3 linked regions of the Schizosaccharomyces pombe genome follow. Changing the gene in region 3 together with the main gene of any one other region gives a genetic interaction. Each region holds a gene or a part of one and is shown on either strand. Other genes may lie near its edges.

Region 1 (4,420 bases), 3.3 Mb from region 3:
ATTGGTTCTGTGGAGTTGGGAAATATGATTCCTAAGGAAACCCAGCCGCCCTCAATGCGAAATGATTGGAAAGATTATTTAGATAATAATTCCAAGGAAATTCTCGATCAATTTGGTTTTTTACAAAAACGACCAAGTCACGACACCCCTTTATGTCCGGAGGACATAAAATTAAATCAGAAACAGACTCTGTCGTTCTATGAAAGCAATTATGGCTTGGTTGATGATTTTTTTGGCAACGAGTTAGATGGGCTCAACGATTCTCCATTGTTGCTAAATAAAAAAGATATTTTATTGGATATGAAAGAAAGTACCCGACAAAAAAACTGGAGCTTGTTTTTTCAACGCTTGTACAAAAAATATAAAATTACCGATGAGGATACAATTGGTTTACTAGGAATATCTAGCATAGGTGTTAAAGGGCGTCATGGTAAAAAAAGATGGCATAAATTTCGTGAACTTGTGAAAAATGGTGTTCCTTTGTGCTATAAAGCTAAAGTTTGGTTAGAGTGCTCAGGCGCTTATCAATTACATTCACCTGGCTATTATGAAGAACTATTATCACGTACTGATGAGGTTGAATCAGCGAGTGTTGCGCAAATCGATATGGATATTAACAGGACTATGGCTAAAAATGTATTTTTTGGAGGAAAAGGACCTGGAATCCCGAAATTACGACGAATTTTAGTTGCTTATAGCCGCCACAATCCACACATAGGCTATTGTCAAGGAATGAATGTTATTGGTGCCTTTCTTCTTTTATTATATGCTTCAGAAGAAGACGCGTTTTATATGCTAATGAGCATAATTGAAAACGTTTTACCTCCGAAATACTTTACTCCTGACCTGATGACTTCGCGAGCTGATCAGCTGGTTTTGAAAAGCTTTGTGAAAGAGTCATTACCGGAAATCTATTCCCATTTAGAATTACTTGGGGTTGATTTGGACGCCATTTCATTTCATTGGTTTTTAAGTGTATATACTGATACACTCCCTACGAATGTACGATAAGTGGTTTTGAAAGATTATTAAAGTATGAATTGTTTACTAACTACTTTTTTTTAGATATCTTTTAGAATATTTGACATGTTGTTTTGTGATGGTTATGTATGCTTATTTAGAGTTGCACTTACGATTCTAAAATCTTTAAAGCAACAAATTTTAGCATGCAATTCCTCTTCTGCCATCTACTCATTTTTGAGTGATTTGGTTCAATACTCTTTTCAACCCGATTCGTTTATTAAAGAGGCTGCTGATCGGTGGTCCAAACTTGTTACGGAAAAGAGTATTGAACGGAAACGTAACTTGGCTATTTCTTCGTTAAACTTAGCGGTCAATTATTGAGTTCTTTGTTTTGTTTTACTGGTTTGATTCGTGATCGTTGGTAAGTTATGATCTTTAATAAATAAAAAAGCTTTTTGTTGCCTCATGGGCATCTTATTCATTTTTATGTTGGGTTACTCATGAATATAATTTTTTAATGTTTTCCATCACTGTATACTATGACTGGGTTATTTTAATGCTGTTTCAGGAGTCCATTTCATTATAATTTGGAAGTATAGAATGTAAAATCTTTTTTGAAAACTCTTGTATGAAGCTAGGCAATCCATGCATAACTTTCACTTATAGTTTTTGATTTGTTTGGTTTAATAAACATAGACAGATTCTTGCTCTTCATATATTTTCCTGTATGCTATATAAACATTGCTCTTACGGTTTGTGAGGTACAACGATCGATAACGCAGTCGGTTATATTTCTAGTATATCATAAGTGTCAGTGTCTCAGTAATGTCATCCGGTGTACTTTCCGCCATACACAAAAATATCAGTGGAATTGAATTGTATTGCGACCGACTCGTAGCACTTTCAAAAGCAAATGAATGAACTTCATGATGGTGAGAGCTCTGAGGAAGGAAGGATCAATGTTGAAGATCACCTAGAAGAAGCTAAGAAAGATGACACAGGACACTGGAAACATTCCGGCACTGCCAAGCCATCCAAGTTTCGAGCCTTCATAAGGCTGCATTTTAAGGATAGCAGAAAGTTTGCTTTTTCTCGAAAGAAGGAAAAAGAATTGACGTCGGAAGATAGCGATGCTGCAAATCAATCACCTTCTGGTGCACCTGAGTCGCAGACCGAGGAAGAGTCTGATCGCAAAATTGATGGCACTGGTAGTTCCGCAGAAGGTGGTGACGGGAGTGGTACTGATTCAATTTCCGTAATAAAAAAATCGTTTTTTAAAAGTGGGAGGAAGAAGAAAGATGTTCCCAAGTCGCGAAATGTTTCTCGTAGTAATGGTGCTGATACCTCAGTTCAGCGAGAAAAGTTAAAAGATATTTTCAGTCCTCATGGGAAGGAAAAAGAATTGGCTCATATTAAGAAAACTGTTGCAACGAGAGCGAGAACATATTCTTCCAACTCTATCAAGATATGTGATGTTGAGGTTGGTCCATCTAGCTTTGAAAAGGTTTTTCTACTTGGCAAGGGAGATGTCGGTCGAGTTTATCTTGTTAGAGAAAAAAAGTCTGGCAAATTTTATGCCATGAAAGTTTTGAGTAAGCAAGAAATGATTAAACGCAACAAAAGCAAACGAGCTTTTGCAGAACAGCACATTCTTGCGACAAGTAACCACCCATTCATTGTTACACTTTATCATTCTTTTCAATCTGATGAATACCTTTATTTATGTATGGAGTATTGTATGGGAGGTGAGTTTTTTCGAGCTTTGCAACGACGTCCTGGCCGTTGTTTATCAGAAAACGAGGCCAAATTTTACATTGCAGAAGTTACCGCTGCATTAGAATACCTCCACTTGATGGGATTTATTTATAGAGATTTGAAGCCTGAAAATATTTTGTTGCATGAGTCAGGACATATTATGCTTTCTGATTTTGATTTATCTAAACAATCAAACTCTGCCGGTGCACCAACGGTAATTCAGGCCAGGAATGCACCATCCGCTCAAAATGCTTACGCATTGGATACAAAATCATGTATCGCAGATTTTCGCACAAATTCATTTGTCGGCACAGAAGAGTATATTGCTCCAGAAGTTATCAAGGGTTGTGGTCATACAAGCGCTGTTGACTGGTGGACTTTGGGTATTTTATTTTATGAAATGCTATATGCCACGACTCCTTTCAAAGGTAAAAATAGAAACATGACTTTTTCGAATATTTTACACAAGGATGTTATATTCCCTGAATATGCGGATGCTCCTTCAATTTCCAGCCTTTGCAAGAATTTGATTAGAAAATTATTAGTGAAAGATGAAAATGATCGCCTTGGGTCACAGGCTGGTGCTGCAGACGTGAAGCTTCATCCTTTTTTTAAAAATGTCCAATGGGCTCTATTAAGGCACACTGAGCCTCCGATTATTCCAAAGCTTGCCCCTATTGATGAAAAAGGCAATCCTAATATTTCCCATCTAAAGGAAAGTAAAAGTTTGGATATTACTCATTCTCCCCAAAACACACAAACAGTTGAAGTTCCCCTATCTAATTTATCGGGTGCAGATCATGGAGATGATCCCTTCGAATCGTTTAATTCAGTTACTGTGCATCATGAGTGGGATTAGGTCATTTTCTTTTCTTCCTGTAACTTGCATATTGATGGTAATTTTTCGCACGTCTATGATATTTTTCTCATCTTTTTGTTTAATCAATCCATTATTAAAAGAGCATTTGCTGACTTCATTCATTGCATATATTGATACGTTGTTGAGGCACAAAATATTTCGCTTAACTAGATTCTCCTTTTCACCACAAAGTCTTTCTTTTTTCTACCTTACTTTTACCAGATTCAGACATGCTTTCTCTATTTTCAATAGGAAGTTAAATAAACTTCTAGACAGAATATAACATATACCATTCTAATAACATATTTTGTAAAATAACCAAAAACCACCTTAACAAAATTACCATTAACTAAACCGTCTCTATATCGTAAACGATATGTGACACTCGTGGTGAAAATGATTTGACACAATTTGTAACACAAACTGTATTTTTAGCCAACATTTTTGAAAAACATGAATTCACTTCAGAAGAGTATGTTTCGATATCTTCATCTTTTACGTTCTCATGAACATGTATAAAGGAATGTGATTCTCGCTTTAAAATTGAAGTAGCGGTTGACCAGGATTTTTCACTAGAGGGGAGCATTCCCAAATTTATATGTCGAGCAGAAATATTCATTTTGGAGAACCTTTCAGCTGCATAAACGTTGCTTTCCAAAAAAACTACAATACGATGAGTTCCTACTTTAAATTCATAGTTTTCTCCATTTCGAACTACATAAATAGACCAGCCATTTTTCAAAGCAGCTCTCCTTAACGCTTCAACACTCCATGGATTAATTTCCCAGCAAAAAACTGTTGAAGCTCCCGCTTTAACGTAAGAAAATGTAAAGTACCCTATAC
Region 2 (3,732 bases), 3.1 Mb from region 3:
GGAGTCATAAGTAGACCATCTTAGTTTGCTGAAAGTTTTTCAGCGACTTTAAAACTTTAATTGGATGAGAAATGTAATCGGTAATTCTTTCATTCTGGAAAGTATACTGCAGAATCTCATATATACATATATATCATAATTCTTATACTAGTAAAATGTTTGTGATTGATTCAATTAATATTTTATGGTTAGGTTTCAAAAGAATGTTTTGTTTTTATTATTGTTTAATTCATTTTTTTGTCCTCATTAAAAATTCTTTTGGTAGAGTCATTACTAAGTTTTTGCTTCGTAGACTACATGAAAGAAGCTGGTGAGGCGAAGTAATATTATGATTCAATACTACCTAAGATATAGCAAACATCAAAAGGGTACAAAATTCTAGGAAATCATCTGGCAACGTTAGATATCAATATGTAAATAGAAATAGAAAAACATGTAAATCTAATTACATACTAAGTCAATAAATGGAAAGGAGTCTGGTAATTTTTGATTAATTAGCAGTGGTTTACAAACGAATAGTTACTAGTTATTGCAAATCAAAATTAGTGTCGATGACATGTGTAAGCTTGACATTCATTTTATTTCAAAATAGAAAAGTAAAGATAAGAGCAAAATTTTCATTTCGTATACGAAACTAGCAAACAACTACAACGACGTGAACAGCAAAAACGAGTGTATTTGAAGTAAATTATTTGTGAGATGATAGTACCAATCAACCCAACTGAACAAACAACGTTTCAAAAGGGAGGTGGTAAGAAATTGCAAAGCAAAAAAAACAAGTCATTTGAAAAGAAAGGAGTGAATGACTAGATGCGAGACTTCCAAATTTTCTGGATTTATCGTTCTAAAAGAATAAACCGAAAAAAAACAAACTTGGGAATGCTAAAGAGACTCGAAATGTAAATTAGCAAAAAGTTTGCAAAGGATATATAAAATCGCTCACATTGTTCCTTTATAGCAACTGAAGGTAGAGCGGGTAAATAATGCATGTAATACCAACCATAGAAATAGAAATACGTGACCAAAAGAGTAAAACCAACGGGGAAAAATGAAATGGGAATGATGAAAACGAAAAAAAAAAGTAAAATCTTTTCAGAGACAAACTCTTCTGAGTCTAGATATGTTGTTTAATGGTTCTTCTTAGCAGAGTTAGCGATGTATTCTCTATCATCATCACCTTCAACTTCATTACGAATAGCCTCGTACTCCATCAATTCGACACGAAGAACATCCTCGTTTTGGCGAAGATCTTTGTCAAACCATGCCTCATCGGGGGCCCGGAAAGAGTTGCCGAGGCGATCAAAGAGGGTGGTGAATTGGCCGTAATTGTAGTTGAAATAAATGTGATGGCCATTATGGTGAGCAGCACCATTGATGATGGGGTTGTTGGAGATGTATTTACCATCGTGAATCATGATGGACCAGAAGTTGACAAAGGTGAAAAGAGCCAAGTAGGTCAACTTGTGAAGGGGAAAGAAAAAGGGGAAAAGATGGTAAGGAAGAGATTGTAAGAAGCCATCAGCGGATTTGAAAGCATGGGATGCATATGGAGTGCAGATAATCCACTTATGATGGAGTTTGTGAAGACGAGGGTATACATAACGGTGATGAAGGAAACGATGAGCCCAGTAAATGCCAAAATCTGAGAACATGACAAAAAGAGGTAAGGAACATAAGAAGTATTTTAAACCGTAATCACTGATGTTGTCGTATAAGTAGCTGTACCCATGCAACTCAGCCAAAAACCACGGAACCGTCAATAACGCCATACCAGGTAAGTTTTGTAAAGCCGTTAGAACTTCCATGAACACCTGGTTTTTTAAGAACTTTGGGTGATCCATCAGACTTTTATCAAACACAAATTGGTAGGAAAGCGACGCAAATGTTAAATACAAGAACATACCGCCAAACCAAGTTAAAAAAAACAAACTGATCGACTGTCTAACGATATTGTCGCGAGCTAATGGATATACAGCATTGTATATCGAATCCAGCGCATATTGGTCAGCATAGTTGAGTAGGTAGTCCATTGAGGTGTTTGCTTAAAATCTATTGACCGGTGGTAGCGTATAAGAAGTACCAAAAAATGGTCTGATTTTGATTGCGATATCTAGTTGGCTGCTATTAATTAGTCAATAGGAAACCGAGTTATCTTTTTCGTTAAAGTTTTTATCAAAAAACAAAGAGGTGGCTTATACACTTCGGTTAGTGAGAGGTAGATAGGGCAGATCGGAAAGGACATCACTGTGGCGGGAAGAATCTCTTACACTTACTATGTGGGGGAATAGTACTACGGGGGCTCGCTATTCAACAAGTACAACGAGGTTGGACATGAATGTTTGATATCGAGCAAGTGGGTATATATTAGTCGAAAATAATCAACTTTACGATACAAGATCTAATCTTAAAACTATTATAAGTAAATGAGATGAAAAATTAAATAAGAAAGATAAAAAATTGAAAAAAGAAGGTTAACATTCCTCCATCTCGGGTTTGTTCTCAAAGGCTTAGAGGTTACGCTAGATTGCTATTCTTAGACTTGGACTAATTTGGTACCCCCATTTTGTTCTTTTTAATCCACTTGCATTTGTAAGTCTAGGAACGATAATGGTATTTCTCAAGAGTATGCAATATGTTGCTGATGTTTTAAGACGATAAATACGCAGTTAGAACATAGTCGTTTAAAAAAAAAAAAAAATAAATAAAGTAAAATAATAAAATTATTTAAAAACAAAAATTTTGGACAAGCCAGAACTCGAATCTGGGACCTCTTCCATGCTAAGGAAGCGTGATAACCATCTACACCACATGCCCATGTTGAAATACTCGCATATAATATAGTATATAATTTACATACTTTACATTTTCATTATATCTTAAATACAACACTTTTAAAATGGAAATAGCGATTATTCAGAAATCATAATGTTGCTCGCGCATAAAGTAAACATACAAATAGTAGCTTGTAGCCCAATTTTTTTTTTAAAAAAAAAAAAAAAAAAAAAAAAAAAAAAACTAATGAGATAAAACATTTATTACTTAGTTTTAAGAAATAACAAGAAAAGCTCGAATGGCTTGGCAAACCAGGAAACGCCTGCGAATTCCTGAAATTTTCGTAATATTATTCGTGCCCTTGATTAGGGAAATCATTCATCTAACATTTTAGATAAACAAAAGACAGTGACTATTCGCCATCCCTAGTCTTTCACAAGCTCAATAGAAATCGACTTGTAAAGATAGAAAAGGAATCAATAGGCAGCAGTCAATCAGAAAACAAGTGTGGTATTTATTTACTTTTTTTTCTTTTCTTATTCTCTTCAGGCGTCATACTGTAGAAAAATCTGTAACGAAGAAGTATACATGTCCAATCAAAGCACTAATTAAATCAAGCAGTGGAAAGATCCCAGTTCGTAACCAGCGCAATAATACCATTACCCATGGAACATAAGGTGCTTTTACGTCGAAAAGACCTAGTATCGAGATTCTGTACAGTGGATGTTTCCACGACCATATGTATAACATGGTAAATGAAAAGTAAGAAGCTGCAAATGGCATGTAGGAAAAATAGGAGGTAACTAAAAGAGAAAACCATACTATCAATACCGTTTTTAAGAAGCTCTGTGTTTGAGGCGGCGGACTAGATCTTTCTAACATACTCATGAAACGAAGTAGAAACGACAAATATAAAATCAACTCTAATCCAAAAGGCCCAACATAAAGGAATGTAGTTAT
Region 3 (7,970 bases):
GAATTCTTGGAGGACTACTTTCATCTCATATTTTTGCCTCAGAAGAAAAATATGGATTTCAAATCCCATTGTATAAGGGTGAATTATTGACATTGGCTACAGAACTAGCAGAACGTTTACTTCCTGCATTTCGAACACCTACTGGAATTCCTTTTGCAAGAATCAATCTAATGAAGGGTGTCGCGTATCGTGAGGTAACCGAAAACTGTGCTGCTGCGGCCTCCAGCCTGGTATTGGAATTTTCTATGCTTACTGCTTTGACTGGGAATAATAAGTTTAAAGCTTCTGCTGAAAACGCTTTTTTCTCCGTATGGAAGCGAAGGTCAGGTATTGGTCTTTTGGGCAATAGTATCGACGTTTTGAGTGGCAGATGGATTTATCCTGTTTCAGGAGTCGGTGCAGGCATCGATAGCTTTTACGAATATGCTTTTAAATCTTATATCTTTCTTGGAGATCCTCGGTATTTAGAAGTTTGGCAAAAGTCTTTGGAATCATTACGGCATTATACCGCTTCTCTTAACGAATATTACTATCAAAACGTTTATTCAGCTAATGGCATGGTGATGTCGCGCTGGGTTGATTCTTTGAGTGCTTATTTCCCTGGGTTATTGGTATTGGCGGGCGAACTGGAGCTTGCCAAGAAAATGCATTTGTACTATTTTTCTATTTATTTGAAGTTTGGGCAATTACCAGAGCGCTACAACTTGTATACAAAGTCCATCGAACTAAACGGTTATCCTTTACGTCCTGAATTTGCTGAGTCTACATATTATTTATACAGGGCAACTAAAGATGTATTTTATCTTCATGTCGGTGAATTACTGCTAAGTAATATCGAAAACCACCTATGGACTCCTTGTGGATTTGCGGCAGTAGAGAATCTAGAAAAGTATACACTTTCGAATCGAATGGAAAGTTTCTTTTTGAGCGAAACCCTTAAATATTTGTTTCTATTATTTGACGATGATAATCCCATTCACAGAAGTCACCATGATTTTATTTTTACGACAGAAGGTCATTTGTTTCCCGTGACAAATCAAACACGACTGTCTACCTCTCAAAGAATTTACGACGGTGGAGAAGTTTGTGTTGCAGAAGATTACGACAGATCTAAATGGCCAATGTTATATTCGTTGATAGCATCTAGAGACGATTACGATTATGTCTCTCATTTAGTAGGAATTGATAACAAAGCAATACCCTCGTATCTAATTGATCCATCGGGTGTTTGCAAGAGGCCAGAGTATTCCGATGGTTTTGAACTCCTTTATGGAAGTGCACTTGTTAGTCCTATAAAATCAGTGGAACGTGTAACCAATAATGTATACATATCCGACATTATCGGTAATAAACTTAAATTCGTTCAAAAAGAAGGTTCTAATTCTCTGTTTTTATACACTGCTGGAGCTGAATCTATAAATGAGAATGACACGGTCTTCCTAACCGATCCGGATTATGAGACCTTCACAAGACCTGATGCATTGTACTTTGATCGAACTATTGCTCAGCTAGAAAATCCGAACAGTGGTCAAAAAACGTTTGGAAAATTCCTTCAATTTGACAACGATAATTCTTTACCTTCAAAGGTTTTTAAGACAGTCTTGTTAAATAACAGTATGTGTCAAAAACCCTCCGATACTCTCGACAAAGATACAGCATATATTGCTCCACTTGGCAACTGCTCATGGGTGCAGCAAGCAAAAAATACCAATAAGGCAGGATTGTTAATTCTCATCACGGATGGTGAATTTATTAATCCGTTAGAAAATATTCATTCTCAAAACAGTCTATTCAATTGGGTTAAACCATACATCCCTCCGACTATTCTCTTAAAAAATGAAAACAATTTTGTTTCTAAATGGGCCAACGTCTCTGTGCGTCAATCAGACTTTGACGCCCCTTCGTACTTCCAAGGAACTCCAGTTTCAAACCTATATTTGTGTCTGAAATGCATAAACAGCTAGGAATAACGCTGTTTTGTGATTTTTTATTTACGCATGTGTATAGACTTGCGGTCATATATGCTTTTTACTATTTAAAAAATATTTGTGCTGCGTGATTTCAAAGCCTATAGATGTTTATCCATTCAATACTTAATAAAAGTATATTTGGATAATTCAGCTTTCTCTTGTAATTATACTTTTAATCGAGGGCTATATTATAACGTGGATTCGTCAATAGGCTTATAATAAGCTGAATGTATCTACCTATTTATATTAAAGAAAAGCGTGGTATTGACCATTCTAAAAATTATACCCTTTATGACCCTTATAAGCTTTTCTCCTTATGATGTTGCATCCTTTTTTCTTTTTTTTCATTTTAAGATATCGATTTCCACCCGATTTATATATATTTGCTAACAAAAATCCTACTTTTTAGAATACTAGTTGAAAAATGTATAACTTATTCAATTTACAACTTAGACTAAAAAAATCCTAGCTTGACGAATAAACCATAGAAAAAAACCCAGAACCCTAAACATTTATAAAAAAGGAATAAAGCAAATATAACGTTAAAAATTAGAAATGCTTATACATACTTCGAGTTCATAGTTTAAGCAAATTCACTACCATCAGGTGCTTCATCCTGTCCAGTAAGAAGTGTATAAGTAGGAGCCATAAGACGCTTACGTCCTTGAAGAAATGTAAGTTCTAAAAGGAAGAGATGTCCAACTAATTCACCACCCAAACGAGTAACGAGTTCATCAGCAGCCAAGGCGGTGCCACCAGTAGCAAGAATGTCGTCAACTATTAAGACTCTTTGACCGGGTTTAATAGTACCCTTTTGGATTGCAAAAGAATCAGTAGAATATTCCTTATTGTAGCTTACGACGACCAAATCACCGGGAAGCTTGTTGGGCTTACGGACAGGGACAAATGCACAATTTGCACGTAAAGCCAACGTAGGTCCAAAAAGAAATCCACGCGCCTCCAAACCAACAATCACATCAATGTTATTGAATTCAGTTTCAACGGCTTCAAGCAAAAGATCGATAAGGATGCCAAAGGCTCTGGGATCTTGAAAAATGGGCATTATCTAATAACATTAGCATCTTATTGTTTATAATTTAACAGAGTATTTAAGCAATTGCAAGGCGTAAAGATAATATAACCTCTCGAATTGTATTTTGGATTCAAACTTCACGCTAATTGAGCAAAATAATATCACCGTTCCTATCCAACCTCGCGCATTTCCTCCTTCTATAAAATCTTACATCTTCAAACAAGATTCCCTTTTTGGGAAAATCTGGATATTGAACAAGTTTATTCTTAAGGTAATTGATTCTATCGTCGGACATTTTAGTAAATTGCTATGTAAAAACTTCTACAAAAAAAAATAAATACTCAATTTCCGTTACCGTCTATGCAGCGAAAATTTTGGACTGCTGTTTTCAAGTAACATGTTACCATCCGTTTAATGTAAAAAACGTCAGTCATAATTCACCTATTAATACTAAGTAGTGTACCGGGTTAACTTTGGCAGCTAAGACGAGCTCTAAAAGAAACGTTTATGTTTGAAATTCGACGCTCTTTTCCATTCCTTTCTTCGTGAAAACTGTCAGCCACAACTCCATGTTTTGAGGTATTCCTTCTTTAGTTTGATATACACTTCAAGCAATTTCAGTCATATCCGTTGTTCATCATTAAACAAACTTCGGTCAAGATTATTAGCCGTTTTTTGCTATTACATTCAGTAGAAAGCTTATTTTTTAATTTGTTTAAGCCAGTTATACTGATACACTTGGTATTAATTCAATTCAGAAAAAAATTTCAACGGCAAACATCGATACACATTTTTCTAAGAACCAAGCTTCTTTTTCAGGAATTTTGAATCAATCATTTGACCATTGATTTGCAATCTAAATTTTAGCAGTGGGTTTGTTCGAATACTGCAGCTATACCTATAAATTACCCATTTACTAGCTTCATGGATTAGAAAAATAAGTTTTGTTGTTTCATTTGTGCTTTTTGTTTTTCTATTCTGTTCTGCTCATTTCTTGTTATTTGAAAGCAAATCTTTCTAAAAAGCTTTATTGACACTTTTATGGTGGTATACCATTTATATAATCTAGTAAGTAAAGCAAAAACCAAAATCTTACGCCTCTACATTACTCGTTTAGTCTGCTCCTAAGTAAAAATAGGCACTCCAAAAATCGCTCCTTCTCTCCGTTCCCTTTTTTAATTTACGTTGACATAATTAAGTCAATAATGTTTGCAAGACATCCGAATTTATTATGGTTGAACAAACAACTGTCTATTTTACATTATCTTTGCCTAGTTTTTTTAGCTGTCTACTATGCCTATCCTCTACTATTTGGCATAATGCCAAGAAAGCTGCAACTCGAAGATGAAAATTCTTTTGTTATTATGGGGGTTGCTGATCCTCAGATTGAAGGGAATCATAAAATCGAAGCAAATGGATTTTTTAAAGGCACTTTAGATCTTTGGGGGAATGATTTGTTTTTACGACACCTTGTACATATGAATCAGTTTTGGGGTCAACCAGATGCGATGATTCTGTTGGGTGACTTGGTCAGTTTTCAGCACTTGGATAACGAAGAATTCAACAAAAGAGCTAAAAGACTGAAAAAAATCACTGGGGCAAAAAACTTTTGGCAAGTAGGAAACTCCAGTTTACCAGCACGTACTTTTGAAAACGGTAACATTCCCGTTTGGACGATTGCGGGTAATCATGACATTGGCTATGGCTGCGAAAGTTCAGACGCACAAATTAGCAAATGGGAACAAGCTATGGGCCCGGTAAATTGGGTTTCGCACTTCAATGTTTCTAAATTTCCTGTCCGTGTGATCGGCATAAATAGCCTTTCGCTTGATGATGTTCAGTTTTACGATGCGAACCCTAGCGATATTATTAACAGTAAAAGTTTTTCATCATTAGGTATACTTGCTCTTTCAAAAGAAGCTAGGGATGCTTGGCAATTTCTTTTCGACATTGCTTTAGAGCCGTCTATTCCAACCATACTGTTCACCCATGTGCCACTCTACAAACCAGCTAATGTGTGTGTTGACGAACCGAGAATCGTTCGTCAATTGGATTTTCGGGTCAAGTCTCAAAATCATTTATCGTATAATACTACTATGAAAATTTTTGAATTGATTCCTAGCATCAAATTGGTCCTTTCTGGCCATGATCATATGGGTTGTGACTACGAACACCCGAACGGTGCCATCGAACATACATTACCCAGCGCAATGGGGTACTTTGGAGGAAATATTGGTTTTGTCAAACTGATCGCGACAAATGATGTTCTTACAGAGTCCTCCAAGAACACACCCTCGGTTGTTACATTTCTGATTCAAAAACTCATTGGCCAACGATGGAAGAAGGCTTCATTGAAACAGTCAAAATTCAGTTCCGACATATATGCCACTTATACCTTGAGTCACGGAGGACCATCTTATATTTGGTGGGCTCTTCACATATCGGTATGCGTACTTACCATCTTACGTTTATTGGTAATATCATTGCAACATATCTAACATTGTTGTGCACTAATTGTTCAAATGAACAGTTTTATATTTACACCAGCCTCTTAAACAGGCAATATATCCAGCCTTTAGGTGAATTTGAGAGAAACCAACCTTTTTTACCAGCCATTCTGCTGGTTTTTAACCAAGAACCTGCAGATTCATTGAATTAACGTGGTGCCTTAATTACATTTAACGTCATTTTTGTACTTTCTTGCAGTAGTGCTGGATGTTTATTTACACAAAGTCGACCAATGTTACCATAGTAACGCGACCCAAGAATGCGTTATCTAATTTAGGTGCAAATATAAATGTCTCTCTGGAATCCACAATTTTTCGATTGTTTTTGTTTACATCGATACAGTTTCCAGCATTGCCCCACTTTTGAGCATTAATACACTTAGGTCATATCAGAAACCCAAGTGCTATATTAAGTCGCCTTTCTCGCTTACTTTCTTTCCTTAACCATCTACTTTTAGTTGGGTATTCGTCTTGCTGAAGGCCTGTGCACTGCCAATTGCCGAACTAGGGATTTATTTGAGAAATGAGAAGATTAACCATCAGCGGGCTATTAATTAGCTTAGCCAAGCTTTGTGCTGGCATGGAAATTAATGTTCCTTCTTCTTCAGACGTTTGGACTAGTGGACATATTGAACCCTTGGAATGGAGTGTGGTCAGCACTGATCCCCTGCAGGCTAATGTCTGGTTAATAAACGAAGTTGAGTATCCACCAACAAGCCGTTACATAATGACCATCAATACTTTTGATGAAAATGCCACATTTCCTGCTTTAGATCTTTCGCCAGGTTATGGCTACCAAATTAGTTTTACGTCTATTCGCGACGACTCTGTTATTTACGCCCAATCTGGTACTTTTTATATTGTTGGCGGCGAAGGTATCTCTTCTACTACTGGTAGTACTTTTCAAAGCATGACTACCTTCACTAGTTCACAAACCAACAGTGGTCATGCTTCTGCTAGCACTTCTATTCCAAGCACTGCTATAACTGTGACAGCGAATTCTACCATTTATTCATCTGCTACTTCTAGTTTTCCATACTCTACAGACGTTAGTGTCTCGACAGGCACATCGACCGACATTGTAACCTTACCTCCGCCAGCGTCGAGCACTTCTTCGTTTAGCACCATTACAAACACGTCTATGATTCCCAGCTCTTCATCGTTTACTACTACTACAGGCTCTCCTTATTATAACACATCTAGTTTCTTACCTTCCAGTGTTATATCGTCTGCCAGCCTGTCTTCATCATCTGTTTTGCCAACGTCTATTATTACATCGACTTCCACACCCGTTACAGTCTCTTCTTCTAGTCTCAGTAGCTTCACTCCTTCCTATAGTACTAACCTTACTACTACTGGAAGTACCACTACCACTGGTTCGGCAACTGTTTCCTCATCACCATTCTATTCCAACAGTAGTGTCATCCCTACCAGTGTACCATCAAGTGTTTCTTCTTTCACCTCCAGCAGCAGCTCATACACTACTACGCTGACTGCTTCAAACACTTCTGTCACATACACTGGTACTGGTACTGGTTCGGCAACGTTTACCAGCTCCCCACCATTCTATTCTAACAGTAGTGTCATCCCTACCAGTGTACCATCAAGCGTTTCTTCTTTCACGTCTAGCAATAGCTCATACACTACTACGCTGACTGCTTCAAACACTTCTATCACATACACTGGTACTGGTACTGGTTCAGCAACGTTTACCAGCTCCCCACCATTCTATTCTAACAGTAGTGTTATCCCTACCAGTGTACCATCAAGTGTTTCTTCTTTCACGTCTAGCAATAGCTCATACACTACTACTCTGACTGCTTCAAACACCACCGTTACATTTACTGGTACTGGTACTGGTTCGGCAACGTTTACCAGCTCCCCACCATTCTATTCTAACAGTAGTGTTATCCCTACCAGTGCACCATCAAGTGTTTCTTCTTTCACGTCTAGCAATAGCTCATACACTACTACTCTGACTGCTTCAAACACCACCGTTACATTTACTGGTACTGGCACTGGCTCAGCAACCGCTACTAGTTCTTCACCCTATTATTCTAACAGCAGTATTATTGTTCCTACTACCGTAAGTACCAGTGGATCTGTTTCCTCCTTCTCTAGTTCTCCTTCTCCTACATCCTCATTTTCTGGTACTTCGGCTCTTAGTAGCTCATCTAATGAAGAAACAACTACCACCACCCAGGTTACTTACACTACGTCTCCCGAAGAGACTACTACTACTATGACTACTACCACATGTAGTTCCCGTCCCGAGGAGACTATCTCTACTGTTTCCACCACTTCTACTGTCTCTGAGAGTGGAAGCTCATCGGCGAGTATCACTTCGACCTATCCTAGTAGCACTCTTTCTATGACTACTTCTCATTTAAGCTCTTCCTCTGTCCATTCATCTTCTGCTCATTCCTCTTCAAGCAGGAGTAGCTCTATGAGTTTGCCGCC

What was found.
Region 1: mutations in apt1 (region 3) and ppk14 together harm fitness more than expected from each alone (negative genetic interaction), as found in Schizosaccharomyces pombe (one large-scale study listed by BioGRID).
Region 2: mutations in apt1 (region 3) and erg31 together harm fitness more than expected from each alone (negative genetic interaction), as found in Schizosaccharomyces pombe (one large-scale study listed by BioGRID).

What each region holds. Positions count from the first base shown.
Region 1 is NC_003424.3:768,747-773,166, forward strand, and holds ppk14 (serine/threonine protein kinase Ppk14), read left to right. Parts: upstream 1-1,793; 5' UTR 1,794-1,876; coding exon 1,877-3,577; 3' UTR 3,578-3,920; downstream 3,921-4,420. Other genes in the region: SPOM_SPAC4G8.04 (GTPase-activating protein), read left to right, coding at 1-1,002, 1,066-1,344; tRNA 4-demethylwyosine alpha-amino-alpha-carboxypropyltransferase Trm12, read right to left, coding at 3,927-4,420.
Region 2 is NC_003424.3:931,925-935,656, forward strand, and holds erg31 (C-5 sterol desaturase Erg31), read right to left. Parts: upstream 2,045-3,732; 5' UTR 2,031-2,044; coding exon 1,128-2,030; 3' UTR 501-1,127; downstream 1-500. Other genes in the region: SPOM_SPAC1687.17C (Der1 family protein), read right to left, coding at 3,325-3,732. UniProt on the Schizosaccharomyces pombe protein: C-5 sterol desaturase; part of the third module of ergosterol biosynthesis pathway that includes by the late steps of the pathway. Erg31 and erg32 catalyze the introduction of a C-5 double bond in the B ring to produce 5-dehydroepisterol.
Region 3 is NC_003424.3:4,079,014-4,086,983, reverse strand, and holds apt1 (adenine phosphoribosyltransferase), read right to left. Parts: upstream 3,329-7,970; 5' UTR 3,299-3,328; coding exon 3,215-3,298; intron 3,175-3,214; exon of another isoform or gene 3,037-3,174; coding exon 2,554-3,036; 3' UTR 2,388-2,553; downstream 1-2,387. Other genes in the region: alpha mannosidase Mnl1, read left to right, coding at 1-1,964; ted1 (phosphoprotein phosphatase), read left to right, coding at 4,209-5,501; protein adg2, read left to right, coding at 6,034-7,970.